3 linked regions of the Cricetulus griseus genome follow. The main gene of each other region encodes a partner of the protein of the gene in region 2 in a complex. Links are inferred from orthologs where the notes say so. Each region holds a gene or a part of one and is shown on either strand. Other genes may lie near its edges. The genes, in order: Itgae, Itgb7 and Flna.

Region 1 (3,645 bases), on a different chromosome or scaffold from region 2:
TCCCAGAGTGTCAGATAAGGGGTGGAAGAGCAGCCAGGCCTCCAGCAGGTTCTCCAAGGTGCAAATCATGGAGAGAGGCCGTGCCTCTGGGGGCCCTGCAATGCTCAGGTGGGAACAGCAGGCAAAGATGGGGCAGCCGCTGCCTTTCTGATTGTTTCCCAAACCCCCTTCCTCTCAACATGGCTATGATCTCAGCTTACTTGCTTCCTGGGGCATACACATTTAACCAAACAGCAGCCAGACTTCAGGAAAGGGACCCGGACTGTACCTACAAGCCAATCAGGAATGACCACAACACCAGGGCACCCCACCAGGCAGCCATTACCTGGATTAGAGGCTGTAGTTGAGGAGGCAACTTCGAAACACAGTTCTACATCCACGTTGTCCTTGAAGAACATGGGCAGTGCAGCGGGGATAAATGTCATAGACACGGCCAGGTCAACTACAGGTTGTGAGCTAAAAAAAGCAAAGAGGCCCATTAGGAATGAGCACAGATTTTGCTGCATTCAACATCTCCAACATGCAAGGGTACACTGAATCCTCAGGGTACATTAACAGTAGAGAAAGAGATAAGATTTGCTTTTGTGGGGAAGCAGAGAACCAGCAGTAAAGGGGCTAGAGACATACAGGGACTGGCGATGCTGTAACAGGATAATAAGGTGACTGGCATGGAAGCTACTTAGATCAGGTGGTCAGACTATACTCCCTGATAAGGAGGCCTTGAAAGTAAAAGCCACTAACAAGAAAAAGCCAGCTATATGAAGGTCTGAGGAAGGATTCCAGGCAGAAAACACAGCTGGTGCAAAAGGACCTGTGCCAGGATGAGGTTGGCTTGTTTGGAAAACATAAAGGACAGACAGACTGGAACATAATGAGTGAAACAGAGTGTCAAAAGTGACAAAGGCTGAAGATTGGAGGGTGGGCAGGGCCAATCACAGACAGCTTGTAGGTGGTGGCAAGGAACCGGGTTTTACTCTGGCAGGGGTCACTGAGGGGTTTTGAGTAGTAGCACAGAGGGATCAGGTCAAAAGAGCACAGGAAAGTCTACATGATGGGCCTGGAGAGAGATGACAGTCCCCGGTGCTGGGAGGTGTTTTGGAGTTGAAGTCAATAAGTATGTTATAGACAGGGTGATGGATGAAGGAGGAAGAGGAAGCCTACAGAGAGCTTTTGTCCTCCATATCCCAGAGGGTCTTGAGCTGGTGACTTGCCTGCCCCAGCCTCCCAAGTAGCTGGGATTACAGGCCCATGCCAACAGGCCCAGTTCTAGAATGTAACCCTCATTCTCTAGGTGGGCGATATAGGACCATTTGCTGAAACAGGAGCCTGGGGGAGGGGTAGACTGGGGATGGAAGGTGGGAAGAACAGGTGCTCCACTTGGAGGCCTGTTCACTTGGACAACAGGTGTGGGACTCTCTGGAGAGAACTGGGTGACAGGGGCTCTGACCACAGGACTGAAAATTGCCTGAAGCTAGAACCCAGCGGTGCTGGAATTCACAGCATGCTGCCCCCTACCACCCAGCACTATGTATTTTCATATTTTCTCACACGTTTTCCTCCCACCCCTGTGAGGCACTCGCCGTCATTATTCCCAATTACAGATAAGAAGTTGCTCACCCAAAGTCACACTGTTGAGAGCTGAGGAGCAAACTTACCCAGGCAGACCCCAGAAGGTGTGTCCCGCCCCCACACTTCCTCCCTCCCTTGGTGCTTGGAATCTGCAGGACCCACTGGGTGTAGAACAAGGAGTAGGGCTGGGGCTTCGGTCAAAAGAAGTCTGGGGAGACGCCTACCGGAGCACAGCTGCCCGGTCCCGAGAGCCCACCGTGATGTCAGCAAGGCCATCGCCATTGGAATCTAAGCCACCAGCCACAGACAAGCCAAAGTAGTGGAGTCCCAAGGCCACCGAGGAGGCTCTGATCCGCTGCAGAAGGAGAAAGAGTAACTTTGCTTTCTATCTCCTTCAGCGGCACGACCCACCTCCCACCCTGGCCATGAATGGTCTCTGAGAAAGTGGTATCTTTGCTTTCCTGGCCTGTCTCCGTTGCCACTGCCAACCATCAAACCACTTCAGGGCCCTCTCTCTGCCTGTCCTTTGTCTTTGGGGAAGGGGTACCCGAAGGACAGGTGGGACTTAAGGGGGAGGCCAAGGGGAAGAGCAGAGTGCTCTGAGAACAGTGAAGGCTCAGGTGCAGGGGTCAGGTGGGGTAGAAGGAGGTTAGGGGGTATGAGTGTAAGGTTTGATGTGGGCTGGGGTGGGGGCAGCAGGAAAGGCTCTCTGGAAGACTGACCTCATCAGGGCCAGAGTTTAGAAGCTGGGAGCTGGAGCCCCGGGGAGGGATGGATGGAAGGCCTAAGCTGATGCCATGGGTTGGGGGAGGGGGTAGCAAAGCTAGAAGCGTTATGATGTGGTGGCTGACAGGCTATGCATTGGGTATCAAAGGGCTGGGGGCTATCCTGGGCATCTGGTGAGGAGGAGAGAGAGATGGGCACAGAGGAGCATCCATTTCTGGAAGAAGGTGCTGTGGACTGAGAGTAAGAGTAAGAGTGAGAGGCCTAGGGACCAGCTTGGGGGGGGGGGTGCTTAGGAAGCACCTGAAGCTAGGGAAAGGGGAGGAGCCAGAGCGTGGAGGAGCTGGATGGAGACAAGAACCAAAGACAAAAGAGGCAGAGAGAGGGACCTGAAGTGGGTTGATGGTTGGCAGTGGCAAAGGAGGAGACACAGGCCAGGAAAGCAAACCATGCCTCACTCTCTCCTTTCCTTTTTTTGTTTTTTGTTTTTTGTTTTTTTTTCGAGACAGGGTTTCTCTGTGGCTTTGGAGGCTGTCCTGGAACTAGCTCTTGTAGACCAGGCTGATCTCGAACTCACAGAGATCCACCTGCCTCTGCCTTCCAAGTGCTGGGATTAAAGGTGTGCGTCACCAACGCCCGGCCTCCTTTCCTGAAGGATTTGGAGGAGGCCTGCTCTGGAACCCTCCTACCCTACCCCTGGTGACTTCCTGCCCTCACTGGCATTCTCTACCACCTGACTCAGGGCTCTGCTCATTCTATCTGTAGGAGGTTTGAACCCCAAAGAAGAAGAAGAAGGAAAGAGCCTGTAGAGTCACCTGGGAAGGACTGGCACGGAGGCCATCTGAATGTCCATTGTAGATGTACACACTGCCATAGCTGGTCCCATCGCCTGCCTCAAAGCCCTCCAGAGGGGCCCCAATGGCCACATCTGTGAATTTATCTTGATTGATATCCCCCACTGCTGCCATGGCAAAGCCAAATCGACTGTTGGTGAGCCCAGGATGCCCACTCAGTGTGCGTGCCAAGGAGAAGGAAGCATCCTGCAAAGTGAACCAACAGCTCAGTTCCCAAGAAAGGTGTGCAGGGCAACCATCCCAGGACCACCGGGAGGGCATTCTCCCTCACTGGTTCCCACTCTCTAGCAGGAGTCCAAGGCTGAGAGAAGACAAGGGATCTGAGCCTACAGTAAAGCCGGTACCTTCCTGTCTTGAAGTTCAAGACCTGGAGCCTGTCCCTCTACTCCCACACATTGCTATATTAGCGATAGAGAGACCTAGCGGCCAGTTGCAGCTCTCCCACACCCAGCACCACTAGATCACTGAATCTTAGACTCCTCATCAATAATGTGAAAGG
Region 2 (3,189 bases):
ACACATGAGAGTGTGTATAGCTTAGGACTGTGTATGCACACATGAGGGTGTGTATAGCTTTGTCTGGTCCTCCTGTCTTCAGGTAGATTTCTGGGTTACTCTTCAAGTCACTCACTGCCTCCCAGAGCCCCATCTCCTAAGGTTCTGGGCCCTTGGCTTCTCAGAGGAGTTAACTGTGGAGTTACACACACTGTGTGACTGTAACTGTAGTGACACCCAGCCCCACGCTCCCTACTGCAGCAATGGCCAGGGACACCTTCTATGCGGGATATGCAGGTGAGGCTGGCTTTATTCGTTCCTTTAGCTCCCATGACCTTCTCCTTGTATTCCCCGTCCTTTGTTTCTGCTTTCTGGAGTGTCCCAGACATCTTATGACTCCACCTGAATATCATGTCCCGAAGAAGCTTCCCATATATGCCAGGGTCTTCATCTTGACCAGAATCCCTCCAGTCTTTCCTCCCTCTATCGTTGGTACTCTACTATGTCCTAGTATTGTTCCATCTGTTTCCATCTCCCTTGAGGACATGGGCCTAGAGCAGTGGTTCTCAACCTTCCTAATGCTATGACCCTTTAATAGTTCCTTATGTTTTGGTGACCCCCAACCATAAATTATTTTTGTTGCTATTTCACACCTGTAATTTTGCTACTGTTATGAATTGTAAACATCTGTGTTTTCTCATGGTCTAAAGCAACCCCTGTGAAAGGGTCATTTGACCCTCAAAGCTCACGACTCACAGGTTGAGAATCACTGCCCTAGAGGCTCTTGAGAGACAGACCAGACATGGTCAAACTGATCCATCTCTCTCTGCTTTCCCCTCCCAGCTGTGTCCCGGGCCGCCTTGGTCAGCTATGTGAGTGCTCTGAGGCTGAACTGTCCTCCCCAGATTTGGAATCTGGCTGCCGGGCCCCCAATGGGACAGGGCCCCTGTGCAGCGGGAAGGGACGATGCCAATGTGGACGTTGCAGCTGCAGCGGACAGAGCTCTGGGCGTCTGTGCGAGTGTGATGATGCCAGCTGTGAACGGCATGAGGGCATCCTCTGTGGAGGTACCTAGAGTCTTTGGGAGAAGGGAGGGAAAGAGGGCCTCCTAGCGCACTTAGACGCTGAGGGCAAATTTCAAAGATTGTGGTTATGAGCTAGAGGACATGCCCAGCACAATTGAGAAGGACGATAGTGACATGCTGGGCCAACTGTGTGTGAAAATGGTGATCACCCTATGCATGGTTCTTCCTCAGGCTTTGGACACTGCCAATGTGGAGTATGTCACTGTCACGCCAACCGCACGGGCAGAGCATGTGAATGCAGTGAGAATGTGGATAGCTGTGTCAGTCCCAACGGAGGGCTCTGCAGTGGGCATGGACACTGCAAATGCAACCGTTGCCAGTGCCAGGATGGCTACTATGGGGCTCTGTGTGACCAGTGCCTTGGTTGCAAGTCACCATGTGAGCAATACAGGTGAGGCCTCTGGTCTTTCATCTTGGGAGTTGGGGCACAGTGAGCTTGCTAAGAACTCCTACCTGCCTGCTCTCCTTGAGGGTGTGTAGGGGAGGGCTACTAGATAGCTGCTGCCCAGATGGGAACTCATTGACATTCACTGAACAGGGACTGTGCAGAGTGTGGGGCCTTTGGCACTGGTCCCCTGGCAGTCAATTGCAGCGTGGCCTGTGCCGATGTGAATGTGACTGTGGCCATGGTCCCTAATTTGGACGATGGCTGGTGCAAAGAGAGGACACAAGACAACCAGCTGTTCTTCTTCCTGGTGGAGCATGTGGCTGAAGGAGTCATACTGAGAGTGAGACCCCAAGAGAGTAAGTGCACAGAGCCTCAGAACTAGGGATGTGAATGGGTTTGAAGTAGAGCTGCAAACCTAGGGCAAAGGCAGAGGGGATGAGACTAAGGTCCAAGGAAGACAACCTTGGGCTCTGCTGGGTTGTTTTTAGTGACAGGGCTGGGGAGGCTGGACACCCTTCGGGTAACTGTGGATCAGCTCTTATACCTTGGCCCACCAGAGGGAGCAGCAGATCACACCCGTACCATCATACTGGGCTGCATAGGTGGCATTGTGGCTGTGGGACTAGGGCTAGTCCTGGCTTATCGGCTTTCTGTGGAAATCTATGATCGCCGTGAGTACAGCCGCTTTGAGAAGGAGAGGCAGCAACTCAACTGGAAGCAGGTAAGGCCAGCTCCTATTGCCACAGGCTGGGCTTTCCTTACTTGACTTCCCTGGGGTCCTCTTCCTCTTTTTCTACTTCCCTAAGCTGTAACCAGCTCCAAAGCACCCTTACCCAAGTCCCTCCCGCTTATGCTGGGTTGGCCTCACAGGATTAGGCAATGGGAGAGCCTGCTATTTTCCTTACACAATGTTCACAATGTTTTCCCACAGGACAGCAATCCTCTCTACAAAAGTGCCATCACAACCACTATCAACCCCCGCTTCCAAGAGACAAACGGTCCTGGTCCCTCTCTCTGACTGAGGCAACACTCACTTAGGATTCTTGTCTTGGAGGACAGTGGGGGACAGCAGGGCAGGGCCTGTCAGAGGGCTGCTTCCCACGGCTGCAACCATTCCCCACCTCATGAAGGGTTCTCCCACAATAAAGGCTTGCCTCAGACCACAGCCTTCACTTTGCTTCACCCCAAGACAGAAAAAGCAGACTGCCTAGCTCAGGTCTCAGGACGACAGGTGTGTTTCTGTTGTGTGACCTGGGAATACCTGGGCCAGTGGATATCAGGTGATGCTATCTACCACCTTCTAAGAGACCCTACCTACCCATCTTGTCAGGCTGCTGAGAACCTTTCTCAGCAAAAATGATACCTTTTTGTCTCTACTTGTTGTGTCTCTTTGGAGAGAAGATGTTTTAACAGGGTAGCTTGCTCTGTTACAAGTTGTAGGGTGGTTAACATAGAAAAGGAGCCTATTAAAACCACTCTGGCCTTTGGTGATAAAGTGCCCCCAACAAATCAAGTCTTCTCAAAGAGGAGATGGAATGTAGAAAAGCGCCATTCTTTTTATTTAAATATCCTAAATATATCACGAAGGAACATACACTGCACTTTAATGGTAAAAAGATACAAGTTTATAACATCTTATAAAACTACCATTTAAAAGTGATCTTGTTCATTTGATAGTCCCCTCCCCCATAGCAAAATAAGTATATTTAAAAAAAAAAAAAAAGGTGGAGCATGGTA
Region 3 (4,438 bases), on a different chromosome or scaffold from region 2:
GAGGGTCATTGAGCCCCAAAGAGCACGAGGAGGTCCGGCAACATCTGCTAACAGTACAAGAAACGGACGCTAGAGCTGGGAAAGGCTGAGCAATTCTGGCACACACCAATTCTGGCACAGGATTGCTCAATTCCAGCTGGCACGCCCTTACAAGGGACTCTCTTTCCTCAAGGTCCCTGCAGGGGATGGAGCGAATAAGGTCCCTGAATCACTTGAACTCTGCCCCAATCCTGCACCCTCCTCCTCTATCTTCATTTCCCTCATCTTCCAGAGCTGAGGGTCCTCAGGGGCAGTCTGTTCCACAGCAATGCAAAGAGTCCAATCCTGAGAGCGAATCCTTTCAGACAGCCTGGTACTGCTGGGAACTCTTTGTGCACACTAGTGCCAAGAAACAGCTGCGACTCAGGGCTCTCATCACCTAAGTAGCCACCCGCAGACCCCTGGCCCGCCCCACCCATCTTCGCTGGTCTTCTCAGTCTCTGTGGCCCTGCCTGCCCCCTAGCTCCATCTGGGAGGAAATGGGGCAAGCAACTGGGCCAGGGAGGCTGCCAGCACTCCAGGACCAAGAAGCCTTCCAAAGGCCCCGAGACATGCCAGTGGTCATAATCAGAAGACACCCGCCTTGTGATGCGTGTAGACGGGTACACTTTGTGCCTGTCTAACTCACATTTCCATCCACCTGGGGCCCTGAAGAGTTCTGCAGTAGAGTTCTCGTCTGGCACAGTATCCCCAAGGTTTGGTGTGACCCTAGAGGTGTGGAGAGGCTCAGGGATAGGGTCCCAGATTACTGAAAAACAATCAGCAGGCACCAAGGCTTGCTGAGGAGCCTAGGTTGTGTTCCCTGAGTGGGTATGAAGCTATTCACTTAAAGTTCATTTTATGATAGATAATTCTGGGGATAATGATGAGGATGCTGTACTGAGGCAGAGGTGAGCAAAGGCACAGAGGCAAGAAACTGTAGGAGACACTCACTACCACCCTCCAGTTAAGGGAATTCGCTTACCTTTCCCATGATAGACTCCTTCCATCTACATTCTCTGTACTTCAAGCCTCTCCAGAATGTTCCCTTCTGTGTTTTTCCAGAAAGGCAGGCCTTTATCACTACTTCTCAAATTGTAGCAATGATTTATCTTCTGAAAGACTGGTGGTTGAAGGAGGCCTTGGGCTGGCCAACATGGCATGCCCAAATATGGTTGGCTCTCCTATTGCTTGGGGTGTCTGCATTGCCTGTGGTGGGGCTATGGTAAGGTTATATTCACAATGGGCACCACCTCTGCCTCAGCATGTTCATCTTGGTACTCTCTATAATCTCACCCGTCAAATAACATTTTCAGTATGGAACTCCCCTATCCTACCTCCAGTCACCTGCATATCCTCTCTTTTGTTTTCATATATACCTGCATCAAGTAAGCCAAGGGGAGAGTTGAGGGACAGGATGGCAGAACTGAGAGGGGGTAACCCAAATGGAAAATTTAAGGGCTGTCATTCAAGACATAATTAGAGTTATCTTTCTGATTACCCTGACCTACTGGAGAGTAAATCCCCATGTATGGAATTGAATCAATAATGGATTTTCCACTGTGTGCCATTTGTCTGGATCACCTGAGTTCACTAATTGGCAGGAAACAAGGAAGACGGAATCATAGTAATGGATCACACAGAAGTTGGGAGTCCCAGCTTCCAGCCCTATGATTTGGCTATTTCGGGGGTAGGGGTGGGGGAGGGGGGAGAGTTCTTGGCCTTAGAGTGGACACAGTGCCACCACCAGATGTCGCTCCATCTCAAAGATCCAGGGGCAGCTCCAGGAAGCCAAAATCCAGCTCTTTCATATTTTCCCTTATTTGGAGTAGATTCTTCGATGTTAGGCACACCCCGCCCACCTCTCCCACCCCCACCATCAGACCCTAGGCCAGGCCCTCCCATAGGGAACTATAGACCCAAGCCCACCAGCTATACTAGGACCCTGAAGAGCTTTTCTAGACTTGTGTAGCCAGGGGGCGCCAGGAGGGAAGGAAGCAGAAAATCCCTGAAGTAAAACCAGTGCCTGTAAGGCAAATTCAGGTGTGACAAGATAGAGAATTGATTTCCTGAACTTTCCACCTTGGCCAGACTCCTTGGAGCTGCAAGAGACTGTGTGTGGGTTTCACCCACTTTTTCTTTCCTGGGATCTGGGAACCTTGGTGCTTATGTTCTGGCTGGCAATGACCGTCATACTCAGAACCAACCTGAGACAGGACCCAAGATCCAGGCTGGAAATCTGTCTCGCTATACCCCTACCACAGCCCCGAAATCAGCTCCCTATGTCCAAACTAGCAGGGGACTCATCATCTCATATGTATTCATATGAGGGTGGACTCATATCCACCCTTGCCATTGGCTGAAAAGTGTCCTTCTAAGTTGCCACTCACCCTTATCCCAATCAAGATACTAGTCTCAAAAGACCTCCCTCCCACCCCCAGAGAGTCACACAAAGACCAATTAATGGGTACCCACGCCTGTACCCATCTCCTGCCAAACACTCAGATACCAGCCCCTCTTTCAGGGACCCCCCCCCCATGACCTCGAGCTCACAGATTCCTGAGCACAAACATAAGTTTGTGGTAAACTATGCAAGTCTGGACACTAACACGATGCCTCGGACCTGAGTCCACACCCAAACTGCCTGGCCTCGGCCTCTCTGCTTGCTTTCCAAACCTTTCCCAGCTCCCGAGCGTCGCACCCACTATCTGACTACTATCCGGTGTGGAGCTAATTACAGAGCCCTCACCTGCTGTCCCTCCAACCGCGGGGTGGCGCCCAGCTCTCTGCGCTCGAGCCAGAGGCCTCAGAACTCCCCTGGCGTCCGCTGCGCGCCGCGCGCCTCCACGCGAATGAGCCGCTGCTGCCCGCCTTCTTGTTGGCTGCATCCCCGCCCCACGTCCGCCCCGCGCGGGGCCCGGCAGAGCCCGTCCCGGCAAGAAAGCCTTAATTGGTAAAATCGCCCTGGAGCCGGGGGCGGGGAGGGGATGCGGGGGCGCGCCACGAGCTCAAGTGCCCTGGCTGACAGGCGACGCCATCCCTCAGAATGAGCTCACTGCTCCGTGAGGGCCGCCAGGCTTCCGGGGGGGGGGGGGGTCTGCAAAACCTGTGTTTAGGCCCAACCTTTAATAGGCTAGATGAGTACAAGGGAGCCAAATGCTTACTGGCTGGAAAGAAGGCCCCGCTCCAAAGCCACCTATACAGGGGAATTGCCCACAGTCACAGCCTTCTGCCTCTGCCCAAGCCTGGTTTGGCCACACCGGTCAGGTCTTGTTCCATGGGAAGAGATGAAACAGGTAATTGCAGTGAGCACCAACCGTTCGTTCCTAAGGCCCCAATGGGTCCCTGAGCACTGTAATGAACAAGCCCTTGTAGCTAGCTATCATTGATTTGGTTCCTGCTAGGTGCAGCTGTTGGCTGTGAGCAAACAACAAAAATACATTGAATTCTCAAAGCAATCAGGTGAAGTCTTAAAGCCTGGGGGTGTGCAGTGTGGTACAAAGTGCCAAATATCTGTGAAGTTGGTAGGCACAGCCATTACCTAATATTGTCAAGCTCTCTCTTCCTGTTCTATGTGCCCATTTCCTGGTAGTTTCAGATTCAACTCAAATGTCATTTCCTACAGAAAGGACACATAAAGCAATGCCATTTTTAACATTTTGTTATTCATTTTACCTGCAACCCCAATATGAGCTACATTTGCATTATGCCAGTGTGCACATAACATGAAATTGAAATAGATAATTGCAAATTAGATTTTCCTTTTCTGATGTGTGTGTGTGTGTGTGTGTGTGTGTGTGTGTGTGTGTGTGTGTAGACTAGGACTCACTCTGCAGCTCAGGCTGATCTGGAAATCACTATGTAGCACCCAGACTGGGCTTTGAAGTGGCAATCCCCCTCCCAATTTCTGTTTCATAAATGTTGGAATAACAGGCCTATTTAATTTGTTTTCCTACTCAATATTATCAAAAAGAGAAGGTGGCACATGCTATATAGTAAGATAAAAGGGAGAAAAGAAAGAATATGAAAGAGCAGTGAGGGGGAGTTTGATCACATCTCCAGAGTCAATTTAGTAATCTATAGTGTAACTTGAAGAGCAAAGTGCTGGGGTCCCCTCCAGGCACTATGCATCCAGTGCTACCTTTGTTGGCTCCACTGGCAATGACATTTCACATTCTGGCCTCCCAATAAGATCAAGATCCCTCACTGTTCTGTCTAGCAGGAGACCTCTGCTAGGGAAGCCAATGAATTATCATAAATTGCTAAATTAGTGGCTTGATTTCAAGTTTGTGAGGTGGCACTAGAGTACATGGAGATGATTGTCTTTCCGGAGGATAAACCCATTTACCCACAGGCATGGTAATCAGATCAACCGGTAGGCAGATGGAAGGGGCATGGGGGAGGTAGTGACTGTGAGCTG

What was found.
Region 1: the proteins of Itgb7 (region 2) and Itgae are in contact, whole or in part, in a cryo-EM structure (PDB 8ZJF), measured with the Homo sapiens proteins. The link is inferred for Cricetulus griseus from reciprocal best matches to the Homo sapiens genes ITGB7 and ITGAE. Residues at the interface, in NP_000880.1 of Homo sapiens: Val201, Leu202, Pro203, Ser206, Thr207, Val208, Pro209, Ser210, Lys211, Arg213, His214, Cys216, Pro217, Arg219, Leu220, Glu221, Arg222, Leu255, Asp256, Ser257, Pro258, Thr291, Phe292, His293, Thr294, Ala295, Gly296, Asp297, Lys299, Leu300; in NP_002199.3 of Homo sapiens: Phe36, Leu38, Arg91, His92, Arg93, Gly94, Leu111, Arg113, Leu118, Ser119, Ser120, Leu122, Glu196, Glu198, Arg230, Tyr233, Glu234, Phe237, Glu238, Cys239, Asn240, Ser259, Gln260, Val262, Met263, Leu266, Arg300, Leu401, Gln403, Phe406.
Region 3: the proteins of Itgb7 (region 2) and Flna are in contact, whole or in part, in a crystal structure (PDB 2BRQ), measured with the Homo sapiens proteins. The link is inferred for Cricetulus griseus from reciprocal best matches to the Homo sapiens genes ITGB7 and FLNA. Residues at the interface, in NP_000880.1 of Homo sapiens: Pro776, Leu777, Tyr778, Lys779, Ser780, Ala781, Ile782, Thr783, Thr784, Thr785, Ile786, Asn787, Pro788; in NP_001104026.1 of Homo sapiens: Thr2263, Gly2267, Ala2268, Gly2269, Gly2270, Leu2271, Ala2272, Ile2273, Ala2274, Val2275, Glu2276, Gly2277, Pro2278, Ser2279, Lys2280, Ala2281, Ile2283, Phe2285, Phe2311.

What each region holds. Positions count from the first base shown.
Region 1 is NC_048600.1:86,887,052-86,890,696, reverse strand, and holds part of Itgae (integrin alpha-E), read right to left. Parts: intron 3,333-3,645; coding exon 3,108-3,332; intron 1,925-3,107; coding exon 1,794-1,924; intron 457-1,793; coding exon 326-456; intron 1-325. UniProt on the Homo sapiens protein: Integrin alpha-E/beta-7 is a receptor for E-cadherin. It mediates adhesion of intra-epithelial T-lymphocytes to epithelial cell monolayers.
Region 2 is NC_048595.1:398,600,392-398,603,580, reverse strand, and holds the end of Itgb7 (integrin beta-7), read left to right. Parts: intron 1-82; coding exon 83-276; intron 277-822; coding exon 823-1,046; intron 1,047-1,235; coding exon 1,236-1,455; intron 1,456-1,602; coding exon 1,603-1,808; intron 1,809-2,009; coding exon 2,010-2,173; intron 2,174-2,383; coding exon 2,384-2,470; 3' UTR 2,471-2,635; downstream 2,636-3,189. UniProt on the Homo sapiens protein: Integrin ITGA4/ITGB7 (alpha-4/beta-7) (Peyer patches-specific homing receptor LPAM-1) is an adhesion molecule that mediates lymphocyte migration and homing to gut-associated lymphoid tissue (GALT).
Region 3 is NC_048604.1:1,462,487-1,466,924, reverse strand, and holds the start of Flna (filamin-A), read right to left. Parts: upstream 2,898-4,438; 5' UTR 2,768-2,897; intron 1-2,767. UniProt on the Homo sapiens protein: Promotes orthogonal branching of actin filaments and links actin filaments to membrane glycoproteins. Anchors various transmembrane proteins to the actin cytoskeleton and serves as a scaffold for a wide range of cytoplasmic signaling proteins.